Linked DNA regions of Macaca fascicularis. The protein of the gene in region 2 purifies or fractionates together with the protein of the main gene of each other region. This does not show direct contact. Links are inferred from orthologs where the notes say so. Each region holds a gene or a part of one and is shown on either strand. Other genes may lie near its edges.

Region 1 (3,025 bases), on a different chromosome or scaffold from region 2:
CACCTAGAATGGGGCCTGCACTTAATGAGATGGATGAATAGTGGTATTTAATAAGATACTTAATGAAGAGTCAGTTTTGGAGGAAAAATAGGAGCTCAAATATTTCTTTTTTTTTTTTTTTTTTTTTTTTTTTTTGAGACGGAGTCTCGCTCTGTCACCCAGGCTGGAGTGCAGTGGCCGGATCTCAGCTCACTGCAAGCTCCTCCTCTCGGGTTCACGCCATTCTCCTGCCTCAGCCTCCCAAGTAGCTGGGACTACAGGCACCCGCCACTTCGCCCGGCTAGTTTTTTGTATTTTTTAGTAGAGACGGGGTTTCACCGTATTAGCCAGGATGGTCTCCATCTCCTGACCTCATGATCCGCCCATCTCGGCCTCCCAAAGTGCTGGGATTACAGGCTTGAGCCACCGCGCCCGGCCTCAAATATTTCTTAAATACTGCTTTTTATTTGTTTTTTTGAGGTGGAGTTCCTCTCTGTGGCCCAGGCTCCCAGGCTGGAGGGCGGTGGCGCGATCTCAGCTCACTGCAACCTCCACCTCCTGGGTTCAAATGATTCTCCTGCCTCAGCCTCCGGAGTAGCTGGGACTACAGGCACCCGTCCCTCACGCCCGGCTAATTTTGTATTAGTAGAGATGGGGTTTCTCCATGTTGGTCAGGCCGTGGTCAAACTTCTGACCTCAGGTCATCTGCCCGCCTTGGCCTCCCAAAGTGCTGGGATTATCGGCGTGAGAGCCACCGCACCCGATCCCAACTGCCCTTTTATTCGTCTGTGTCCTCTAGTGCATTTTATTTGTCTGTGTACAGCGCAGGGATGCATCGCCTTTCTGAGGCTTGGCACAATTAGTGGCCCAGGGTAGGTGTTTAGTAAAAGTGGATTTCTGCCACAGCGCATTATAGAGCTAAAGAGAGAGGGTTTTCTCTTTAGATGATCGGGCCACGTTTTGGTGTGACCGCTAGGGGGAGAGGTGGCACCGGCGGAGCGCTCGCCAGACCCATTTTTCCGCTCCTTGCGTCATCGCACAGGGCGGGGCTCGTACCTGACGCCCGGCGTCTGGGCCTGCTCTCACCCTACTAGGGAAAGGGGTGGGGCTCGGCTTTCCGGCGTGGGCGGAAATTGCTCAGAATCCTCGGGAGCTTTGCGAAACGACAGACCGTCGTCGACCCCGCGGTGAGCCGGAAGTAATTGAATAAGCCCCGGAAGTTTGGAACTATCGCCGGCGTGCGTTCGCAGGTAGATCGCGGTGCCGGTTGCTATGGAGCCGGTCGGGCCTTGTGGTTTCTGCCCGGCGGGGGAGGCCCAGCCCGCGCGTTACACCTGCCCTCGCTGTAATGCGCCCTATTGCTCGCTGCGCTGCTACCGGACGCATGGCACCTGCGCAGAAAACTTCTACCGTGACCAGGTGCTGGGAGAGCTCCGCGGCCGCAGCGCCTCGCCCAGCCGCCTGGCAAGCGCCCTACGCCGGCTGCGTCAGCAACGCGATACCGAGGACGAGCCTGGGGAAACAGGCCTTAGCCCCGGCCCGGCGCCCGGCGGCCTCTCGGGACTGTGGGAGCGGCTGGCGCCGGCCGAAAAAACTGCCTTCGAGCGGCTGCTGAGCCGTGGTGAGGCCGGGCGGCTGCTTCCTCCATGGCGGCCGTGGTGGTGGAAGCGCGGAGCCGGACCGTGGCGGCTTCTGGAGGAGCTGGATGATGTCCCGGGCAGTGATGCCGCGGGGCTGGAGCCCGCCCTTGCGAGGACCCCGCCGGAATCTATGAACGATGCCTTCGCCGCGGAGCTCGCGGCTGCCGAGCTGGTTCTTGGAGATGTCCCGGGGGCCTGCACGCCCGCCATACCCACCCGCATCCCCACGCTGGTCAGCCTGAGCCGCGGCCCAGTCTCGCCGCTCGTGCGCTTCCAGCTGCCCAATGTGCTGTTCGCCTACGCGCATACTCTCGCCCTGTATCACGGCGGTGACGACGCACTGCTCTCTGACTTCTGTGCTACACTGCTCGGCGTTTCCGGAGCCCTGGGTGCCCAGCAAGTCTTCGCCTCTGCGGAAGAAGCCCTGCAGGCCGCAGCCCACGTGCTGGAAGCAGGCGAACACCCGCCTGGGCCCCTGGGCACACGAGGGGCTATGCACGAGGTCGCTCGCATCCTGCTGGGTGAGGGCCCGACCAACCAGAAAGGCTACACGCTGGCAGCACTGGGAGACCTGGCAAAGACCCTGGGCCGTGCCCGGAAACAGGCTGTGCTTAGAGAAGAGCGAGATCATCTTTACCGGGCCCGGAAAAAGTGCCAATTCCTCCTGGCCTGGACCAATGAAAATGAGGCGGCCCTCACACCCCTGGCTCTAGATTGCGCCAGGGCTCACCAAGCCCATGCTGTGGCAGCCGAGGAGGTGGCCGCCCTCACTGGGGAGCTGGAGCGGCTTTGGGGAGGCCCCGTGCCACCTGCCCCAAGGACTCTCATTGAGGAGCTCCCTGGCTGAACTGGGGACCCTGGTCATTAATAAAGCTGTGAGTGGTCAGCCCTGTTGCCTGTTTCTGAAGGATAGTTATTGTCCTACCAGGCCCCCAGAGTCCTGGGCCCACAAGCCACTGCTCAGCTTCTCCCTGATCAGTGCTGACCCAGCCAGTCCTAGGGGAGAGAAGTGCACCAATGGTTCCCAATGTTTATCCAAAGGAGGAAGAGCATCTCCGATTTTGGTCACTGGTTTCATTTTTTTCCTTGCTCTAAACCACCTCTTCTCTGAGGCTGTTCATCCTCAGGGCTGGGTGGGGTACAAGCCCTTGAGTCCCAAGTGTGTCCAGGCTCCTGGTCTTGGGTGTGCTGGTGGATGAGTGGGCATATGTCCCCACCTGGGGTGGTGGAGCCGCTTCAGTAGATGTAGGGCACGATGCGGTAAGGCACACGCCGGCAGTACTCCTGCCATGCCAGGCCATACTTCTGCAGGCACTGCCGCTCATCCCGGGCCTCACGGTGCACCAGCAGCGCGGTGAAGTAGAGGAGGTAGAAGTAGGGCAGCAGGTGTGACACCCCTGTAGAGA
Region 2 (3,563 bases):
CATGGCCGGGGCAGGTGGCGGGGTGGGAGTGGGCTGGGGAAGCAGGGACGTGGGTGGCGACTCACACACACACCCCAATCCCAGGTGCTGTTCATTGATGAGGTCCACATGCTGGACATCGAGAGCTTTTCCTTCCTCAACCGGGCCCTGGAGAGTGACATGGCGCCCGTCCTGATCATGGCCACCAACCGTGGCATCACGCGGTGAGCCAGCTGCAGGGGCCTCTGGGGAAAACGGGATGCTCCGGGCAGTGGATGTGGTCAGAGGGTCCACAGGGAGCCTGTGTTGACACCTGATCAGGGAGGGACCCGTGACTGCCGTGTGCGCTCTTCCCTTACAAAAGGCGGGTGGGAGGCAGCTCTGCTCCCCGAGGAAGCCCAGAGACTGTTCTTGCTGCCTTTCTGTCTTGCTACTCCTTTGGCCCCCAAGGCTGCAGTTTTCAAACTGCGTGCGAAGCGCCCCGGGGCGCTGCAGGAAACTCACAGGAGTGCTGTGGGATGTTTTCTAATCTTGAGGGAAGCACAGTGACATCTGTTAGACACGACATAAACTACGACTGTTCAGTCACTTCGACCCAACAACTTCATTCACAGAACTCTTACTGTTGTGTTTGGCCTGAGGATGCCAGGGACAGATTCCCATGACACAGAGGGTACCATGCTCTGCTGAAGCCTGGGGACCTCGTCTCCCAGGTGTTGCCAGCACCGTGTGCGTGGGGAACTCTTAGTGTTGTGTTTGGTCTGAGGATGCCGGGGACAGATTCCTGTGACACAGAGGGTACTGTGCTGTGCTGAAGCCTGGGAACCTCGTCTCCCAGGTGTTGCCAGCACCCTATGTAGCTGGGATTATGGGCACCCGCCACCATGCCTGCTGGCTGTCTTCTCCACCTCGCCACATTTTGGCCCGCAGGAAGCAGGGGGATGTGGAGGGCAGGCAGCTCCCATAGGCTGTGATCCACAGGCTGCACCCCACTCTTGTACCCACATCCCATTGCCTGGTGGTGCTCAGGCTCAGGGCCGTACCTGGTGGCAAAGAAGGCTGGGGACTGCAGCTGTGGGCCCAGCTGAAACTGGGCGGTTGGGGTGGGCACCACAAAAGGGATGAAGCAGGCATCCTACAGAGGATGGTGGGCCGCTGTGCCTGGCTCTGTTGGCTCTTTTAACTCCTTGGATCTGCAGAAGAAGCTCAGAAGGTAGATATCACCTCAGTGCCATTTTACAGGGCAGGACAGTGAGGCCCAGTGACTTGCCCGGGTCACAAGTCTAGAAAGTGGCAGAGCCCGAATTTGGTCTCTCGGTGGCTGGACGCTGGAAGAGACCCCCAGGGCTGATGGTGTTTTCACAGAAACCGCAGGTCAGGGCCTGGGGGCTGCCCAGGGGCACCTCCTGTGGGAGGCAGCAGCTACCAGCAGCCCTGGTTGTTTGTAGACTCTGTATCTGAGAATCTCCTTGCTTGCTAAGATTTATTTGTAATCCGCAAGTAAATATCTGCCCTGCTTTTGACCACAAATTCGAGTCACCTGACACCCACTTTCCTAGCTGAGTGTGAATGAGGCAACACTGGCTGCTTCCTTTAGCTCATGCTGTAAATAAGTGTCCTTGTTGTATTCTATTTAGTGCTACGTTTTCACTTTCGTTTTTTGAGACAGGGTCTTGCTCTGTTGCCCAGGCTGGAGTACAGAGGCATGATCATGGCTCACTGCAGCCTCAGTGCCTGCCACACACACATACACACACACACACACACCACCCCTGGGGCTCAATCAATCCTCTGGCCTCAGCCTCCTCATCAGCTGGGACCATGGGCGTGCACCACTATGCCTAGCTAATTTTTGTTTTTGTTTTGAGGCGGAGTCTAGCTCTCTTGCCAGGCTGGAGTGCAGTGGCACGATCTTGGCTCACTGCAAGCTCTGCCTCCCGGGTTCAAGCAGTTCTCCTGCCTCAGTCTCCCGAGTAGCTGGGATTGCAGACACCCCCCACCATGCCTGGCTAATTTTGGTAGTTTTAGTAGAGACGGGGTTTCACCGTATTGGCCAGGCTGGTCTCGAGCTCCTGACCTCGTGATCTGCCCACCTTGGCCTCCCAAAGTGTTGGAATTACAGGGGTGAGCCACTGCGTCCGGCCTAATTTTATTTTTTTATTTTTCATTTTTTATTTTTTACTTTTGTATTTTTTTGTAGAGATGGGGTTTTGCCATGTTGCCCAGGCTGGCCTACAACTCCTGGGCTCAAGCAATCCGCCTGCCTCAGCCTCCCAAAGTATTGTCACATTTTTGTGCCTTTTTTAAAAAAAAACTTTTTGGGGCCATTTGTTGGTGATATTGCCATTTGCAGTGTCCCCTGTGCACAGTGCGGAAGTGCTGTCTGGTATTCTGAGTGCAAGGAGGCTGTGATGCCGGACGGAGGAAATACCGTGCTACAGACGCTTCGCTGAGCCCAAGTTAGAATGCTGTTGACATGAGCTCCATGTTAGAGAATAAACAGTGATATTACATAAACACATGAAAATAGAAACACACATAAATGAGGCCAAGTGCAGTAGCTCACTCCTGTAATCCCAACACTTTGGGAGGCTGAGGTGGGCAGATCACGAGGTCAAGAGAACGACGAGACCATCCCAGCCAACATGATGAAACCCCGTGTCTATTAAAAATAGAAAAAATTAGCTGGGCATAGTGACGTGCGCCTGTAGACCCAGCTACTTGGGAGGCTGAGGCAGGAGGATCGGTTGAACTCGGGAGGCGGAGTTTGCAGTGAGCCGAGGTCATGCCACTGCACTCCAGCCTCGCAACAGAGCGAGACTCCGTCTTAAAAAACATAACAGAGGCCGGGCGCGGTGGCTCAAGCCTGTAATCCCAGCACTTTGGGAGGCCGAGATGGGCGGATCACGAGGTCGGGAGATCGAGACCATCCTGGCTAATACGGTGAAACCCCGTCTCTACTAAAAAAAATACAAAAACTAGCCGGGCGAGGTGGTGGGCGCCTGTAGTCCCAGCTACTCGGGAGGCTGAGGCAGGAGAATGGCGTGAACCCGGGAGGCGGAGCTTGCAGTGAGCTGAGATCCGGCCACTGCACTCCAGCCTGGGCGACAGAGCGAGACTCCGTCTCAAAAAAAAAAAAAAAAAACATAACAGAAACACACAAATGAAAACACACATAGACCCAGATTATATATATATTGATTGACGAAAATACTGTGAGTAAAGGCTCAAGAGAGCCTAACCCTGTATTCCACTAGGAGCAGTGGCTCAGGATCGGCTAATTGGAGTGTTCACGGTGACTTTCTAGAACCTCACTGCGGTGAATAAGGGGAACTGACTGTATACCCTGGTACCAGCCCTGGGCTGGCCCCGCTGCAACAGGGAACAAGACAGGTTCTGTCCCCTCCTTTGTGAAGCTTCATGTCGAGCACGGGAGTGGGACCTTGATCCAGTAATCCTCGAGGCAGAGAGCTAGCTTAAAGCAGCCCAGCTCTGCGGAAAGGTGTCCTTGGGGGACTGACAGTTGTGGAAGGCTGCGTCATCAGGGGGTGATGTCATCATGTGACAGGAGACACGAGCTAAAG
Region 3 (4,236 bases), on a different chromosome or scaffold from region 2:
GAAATAACAGTGGGAATCAATTTTTTCACTGTTGGTCTTTAGGAAATCATCTGCCTTTCTCTGAGTTAGGCAGAGTATTGATCGATTATTAGAAAATGGTAAAATGTGTTAAAAACTCTCTTTGTACGGTTTTGTGAGAAATGTGTAATGCTTAAAGACTAACCAAGAGCCTCCTGGCTAAACCAGGTGGATGTCAACAATAGCTAGTACTTATTTGAGTCACCTTGATTTTCCCTCCTCTTGAGAACTTTCTCTAACCTGTTTAGGCTGTAGTCATGCCTCCTTTCTCTGAACTCTCACAATTATTGCCTAGATCTCGTTTGGTAATTAATCATGTCCTACTTACTGCCTGTGTCATCTCTTGTATTGTTTTCTTAAAATATTTACACTTTTTTTTCGGTTGTCATTTATCTTTCCAGCTGTCATTTTCTTTAACTATTTACATCTCTTACTGTTACTCATCTTTCCAGCAGTCCTGGCATTCCATTACGGTGAAAGCTCTCTGAGGCAGGAACCTTTTCTCAGACTTCTTCGAGTCTTCCACAGCACCCCACATTTGACACACATCTGCTACTTCGCAAATGTGTGCTGCCTTGGTTAAATTTTTAGAAGCTGAACTTTTAGTAAAGCTACTATTTTTGAACTCAGAGAAATACCTACCATCCACTAAACAGCTGTACCGAAGTTTCGGTGACAGGGAACCTAAGTTCACTTGTTGCATCTGGCAGCCTCAAACCATGAACCCTTACTGCTGCCCTGAGCGTCCTCCTCGCGAAGCCGAGGACTAGCGCGCTGCTGCACCTTGGAGAGCTCTTTCGGACAGGTACGGAGGGGAGGGCGGCGGAGAGGGCTGGCACCAGCAGCGCGGCGCCCCTCGGAGCAGAGTGATGGGAGAGACCTGTCGCACCTCTCCGGGATGAGCGCCTCGGAGGATGCGAATTAGCCTGCGCTCAGGGCGCCTTGGGGGATAAGCGCTGTCCGAGTACAGGCTTGGGTGATGGCTAGTGGGGTCCGGGTCGACATCTTCCCTTCCCGCTCCCGGACTTCTGCACACACGCGCTGCTCAGCGCAGCAGTCTTTGCCCGGCGCCTTCCTGCGGGACACCCAGCGAGAGGGATGACCGGGCGGCGGAGGCAGAGGCGCACGCTCCCGGGCGCGGGCGAACTTGCGCACCTGGCACCTGCCACACAGCGAAAGCACCGGCCGGCGAGCGGAGGGGCGCCGCAGCCGCCCCCTCTGCCTGGAGCGGACCGAGACCAGCACGCTCCCGCGGGCCGGCAGCGCCGCGTAGAGAGTGGGTGGGCAGGCAAGGGAGGGGAAGGGAGAGGAAGGAGGGAGGGAGGGAGAGGGCGAGGCGCGTTCCCGCGGCGGGGGCGCGCTCTCGCGCGGGCTGCCGGGATCGCTCGCCGCCGCTGTGGTAATGTCCGCCATGTTGGCCATGGCGCAGGGAGCGGATCGGGCGGGCGAGCGGCGGATCTAGTGTGTGGAAGCGGCCGCGGGCGGCGGGGGGCTGTTTTCGGGCGGGGTGGGCGCCCATGCTGTGGCCGGGGGCAGTGAGGAGGAGGAGGAGCGGGCCGGCCGCGCTGCACTGAGGAAGGAGGTGGAGGAGGCGGCGGGAGTCCTCCCCCCCTCCCCGCCCGCCCCGCCGCCGCCGCCCGGGCTGTTCCTGTAAGGCGGGGAGACAATGAGTAAACTCTCCTTCCGAGCGCGGGCGCTGGACGCCGCCAAGCCGCTGCCTATCTACCGCGGCAAGGACATGCCTGATCTCAACGACTGCGTCTCCATCAACCGGGCCGTGCCCCAGATGCCCACCGGGATGGAGAAGGAGGAGGAATCGGTAGGGACTCGAGTGTTTATTACCCCCCCTTCCCTCCTCCCCCCTCCCCTTTGTCAGTCGGGCCTCGCCATTCACAGAGCGCTTTACGCTCGCTGGAGGGCGCCGCTGCTGCTCTAACGCACGGGACTCTACGCCGGCGGAGTAGCGTAAACCCTCTCGGCTGGCGTAGCGCCCGCCCGCGGCCGCCATGTTGTTGCGTCCCAGTGTTGTGATTAGCTCGCAGCGCTGCTTACGCTGCCGTAAGGGGGCCTTGCCGTAAGCGGCGGCCGGGAATGGCGCAGGGGATGCGCTGGCCGCACTTGGCGTACGGTCTCTGTTTACCTTCCCACCTCCCTCCCCCAGGCGCGGGGCTAATTAATGGCGGGGTGTTATTTGGCTAGGCAAGATGATTATTTTTTCCACTTTTAAATTTTGTATTGGGTTCTCTTTGAAATGACTGTAGAAGGGCGCTTTCAAAACAAACATCTTCCTCCCAGCAGTGTAATCATCCTGGCTTCCCCGCCCGCGACGGTGCAGCGGGATGAGGCGGTACAGCACTGCGGCGGGGGAGGGCGGGGACCACGACTACCGACCGGGTAGTAGCGTCCGAGAGCCGCCCGCCGGCCAGTTCAGCCGACCCGACCCGAGCCGGGCGCGGGGTGGACGGGCTCTGACAGCTTCGCCGAGACGGCCGTGCTCCGTGCGCAGTGTTAGAGAGGAGCCGGGGATGCCCCGGAGCGAGCTGCCGGCGTAGCGTTGTCCTCGAGAATTGTCATTGCGAGGTGATCCTTAGAAGTTGAGGACTTAGTGCATCTAAATTGGCAGTTGTAATTTTGATAATACAGCACCTTTTGGGAAAACTGCTGCTTTTTCTCCGATGGGTTAAATTTTGCAGACGGTTGAATATCTGGCTTAACAGAGAGTGTTTATGACTCGAGTGGTGTTACTTGCTTGCGAAGTTCATAGTAACTGCACCCTCAAGAATTTCTTCAATGAACCTGCAGTCCCGCCTTATTGTCAACCTCGGGTGTGTGTGGATTGGTTCTCTTGCTTCTGTGGCTGTCAAAAGGAAGCTCGAGGTTTCCGTGATTGGTTTTCTCTTTTGACTATTAATATTGCAGGAAATGCTTTTATGCCTTTGATTGGCTGGTCGAGTTCTGACCTCACTGTGTTACCCTGTTATTACTACTTTGCTCTGATTTAATCACATTTCTCTTTGATTACTTGAAAGTCTTATATTTTCAGTAGAAAATGAATATGGCCGTAGTATCAGGATGAACTTAACTGTGTGTGTATACAAACGTATATGTAATACATATATATACATGCACATATACATATGTGTGTGCATAGATATAAATATATATCATCAAAACAGCATTTATCTCTAAGGTTTAGAGCTGTGAGAACTTTTTTTTGTATGTGAGAACTCTTTTATTTGTTTCAAACTTGACTCAGTTTTCCATGGGAAGGAAAATTAAGGTAAAATTATGTTATGTACAATAGTTAATTGCATTGAACCCTAATAAGCACAACTTTGGATATTTTTGCTATTTTGTGGGTCTTGATCCAAAAGAAAGATGGTCTTAAAAGTACCAGTATTGTGTGTAATTACTTGGATCCTATTATTTTAGAACTTGAGTCAAGAAATCTATTCTAGGCCAGGCGCGGTGGCTCACGCCTGTAATCCCAGCACTTCGGGAGGCCGAGGCTGGCGGATCATGAGGTCAGGAGTTCGAGACGAGCCTGGCCAGTGTGGTGAAACTCCGTCTCTACTAAAAATTAGTCGGGCGCGGTGGTGCGCGCCTGTTGTTCCAGCTACTCGGGAGGCTGAGGCAGAAGAATTGCCTGAACTCGGGAGGCAGAAGTTGCAGTGAGCAGAGATCATGCCACTGCACTTCAGGCCTGGGCGACAGAGCGAGACTCCATCTCAAAAATAAGGAAATCTGTTCTAGAGTGAACAGTTAACTCCTGGAAGATATATTACTTTTTGCAATCACCAACATATATGGTCCTTAGTATGCCGCATATGTTTTGGTATTTTATCTTAATTTAGTAAGATTACTTACAGAGTAACTTTTTCATGCTTCATTAAAAATATAAAAGTGCTTAACTCGTGTTGCAATTTTTTTGTTTGTTTGTTTTTTGAGATGGAATTTCCCTGTTGTCGCCGAGGCTGGATTGGCGTGATCTCGGCTCACTGCAACCTCTGCCAACTGGGTTCAAGCGACTTTCCTGCCTCAGCCCCGCTGAGTAGCTGAGATTATAGGAGCCCACTGCCTCGCCCAGCTAATTTTTGTATTTTTAGTAGAGTTGGGGTTTCACCATATTGGCCAGGCTGGTCTCAAACTCTTGACCTCAGGTGATCACCCGCCTTGGCCTCCCAAAGTTCTGGGATTATAGGTGTGAGCCACCGCGCC

What was found.
Region 1: the proteins of RUVBL2 (region 2) and ZNHIT2 purify together in Homo sapiens (affinity purification with mass spectrometry; 5 studies listed by BioGRID and IntAct, counting the BioPlex papers as one, with this or other methods). This does not show direct contact. The link is inferred for Macaca fascicularis from reciprocal best matches to the Homo sapiens genes RUVBL2 and ZNHIT2.
Region 3: the proteins of RUVBL2 (region 2) and EPC2 purify together in Homo sapiens (co-immunoprecipitation; 4 studies listed by BioGRID and IntAct, counting the BioPlex papers as one, with this or other methods). This does not show direct contact. The link is inferred for Macaca fascicularis from reciprocal best matches to the Homo sapiens genes RUVBL2 and EPC2.

What each region holds. Positions count from the first base shown.
Region 1 is NC_088388.1:9,252,417-9,255,441, forward strand, and holds ZNHIT2 (zinc finger HIT domain-containing protein 2), read left to right. Parts: upstream 1-1,183; 5' UTR 1,184-1,251; coding exon 1,252-2,466; 3' UTR 2,467-2,505; downstream 2,506-3,025. Other genes in the region: delta(14)-sterol reductase TM7SF2, read right to left, coding at 2,856-3,016. UniProt on the Homo sapiens protein: May act as a bridging factor mediating the interaction between the R2TP/Prefoldin-like (R2TP/PFDL) complex and U5 small nuclear ribonucleoprotein (U5 snRNP).
Region 2 is NC_088393.1:56,995,338-56,998,900, forward strand, and holds part of RUVBL2 (ruvB-like 2), read left to right. Parts: intron 1-84; coding exon 85-203; intron 204-3,236; exon of another isoform or gene 3,237-3,563. UniProt on the Homo sapiens protein: Possesses single-stranded DNA-stimulated ATPase and ATP-dependent DNA helicase (5' to 3') activity; hexamerization is thought to be critical for ATP hydrolysis and adjacent subunits in the ring-like structure contribute to the ATPase activity.
Region 3 is NC_088386.1:44,214,338-44,218,573, forward strand, and holds the start of EPC2 (enhancer of polycomb homolog 2), read left to right. Parts: upstream 1-1,416; 5' UTR 1,417-1,684; coding exon 1,685-1,837; intron 1,838-2,383; exon of another isoform or gene 2,384-2,598; intron 2,599-4,236. UniProt on the Homo sapiens protein: May play a role in transcription or DNA repair.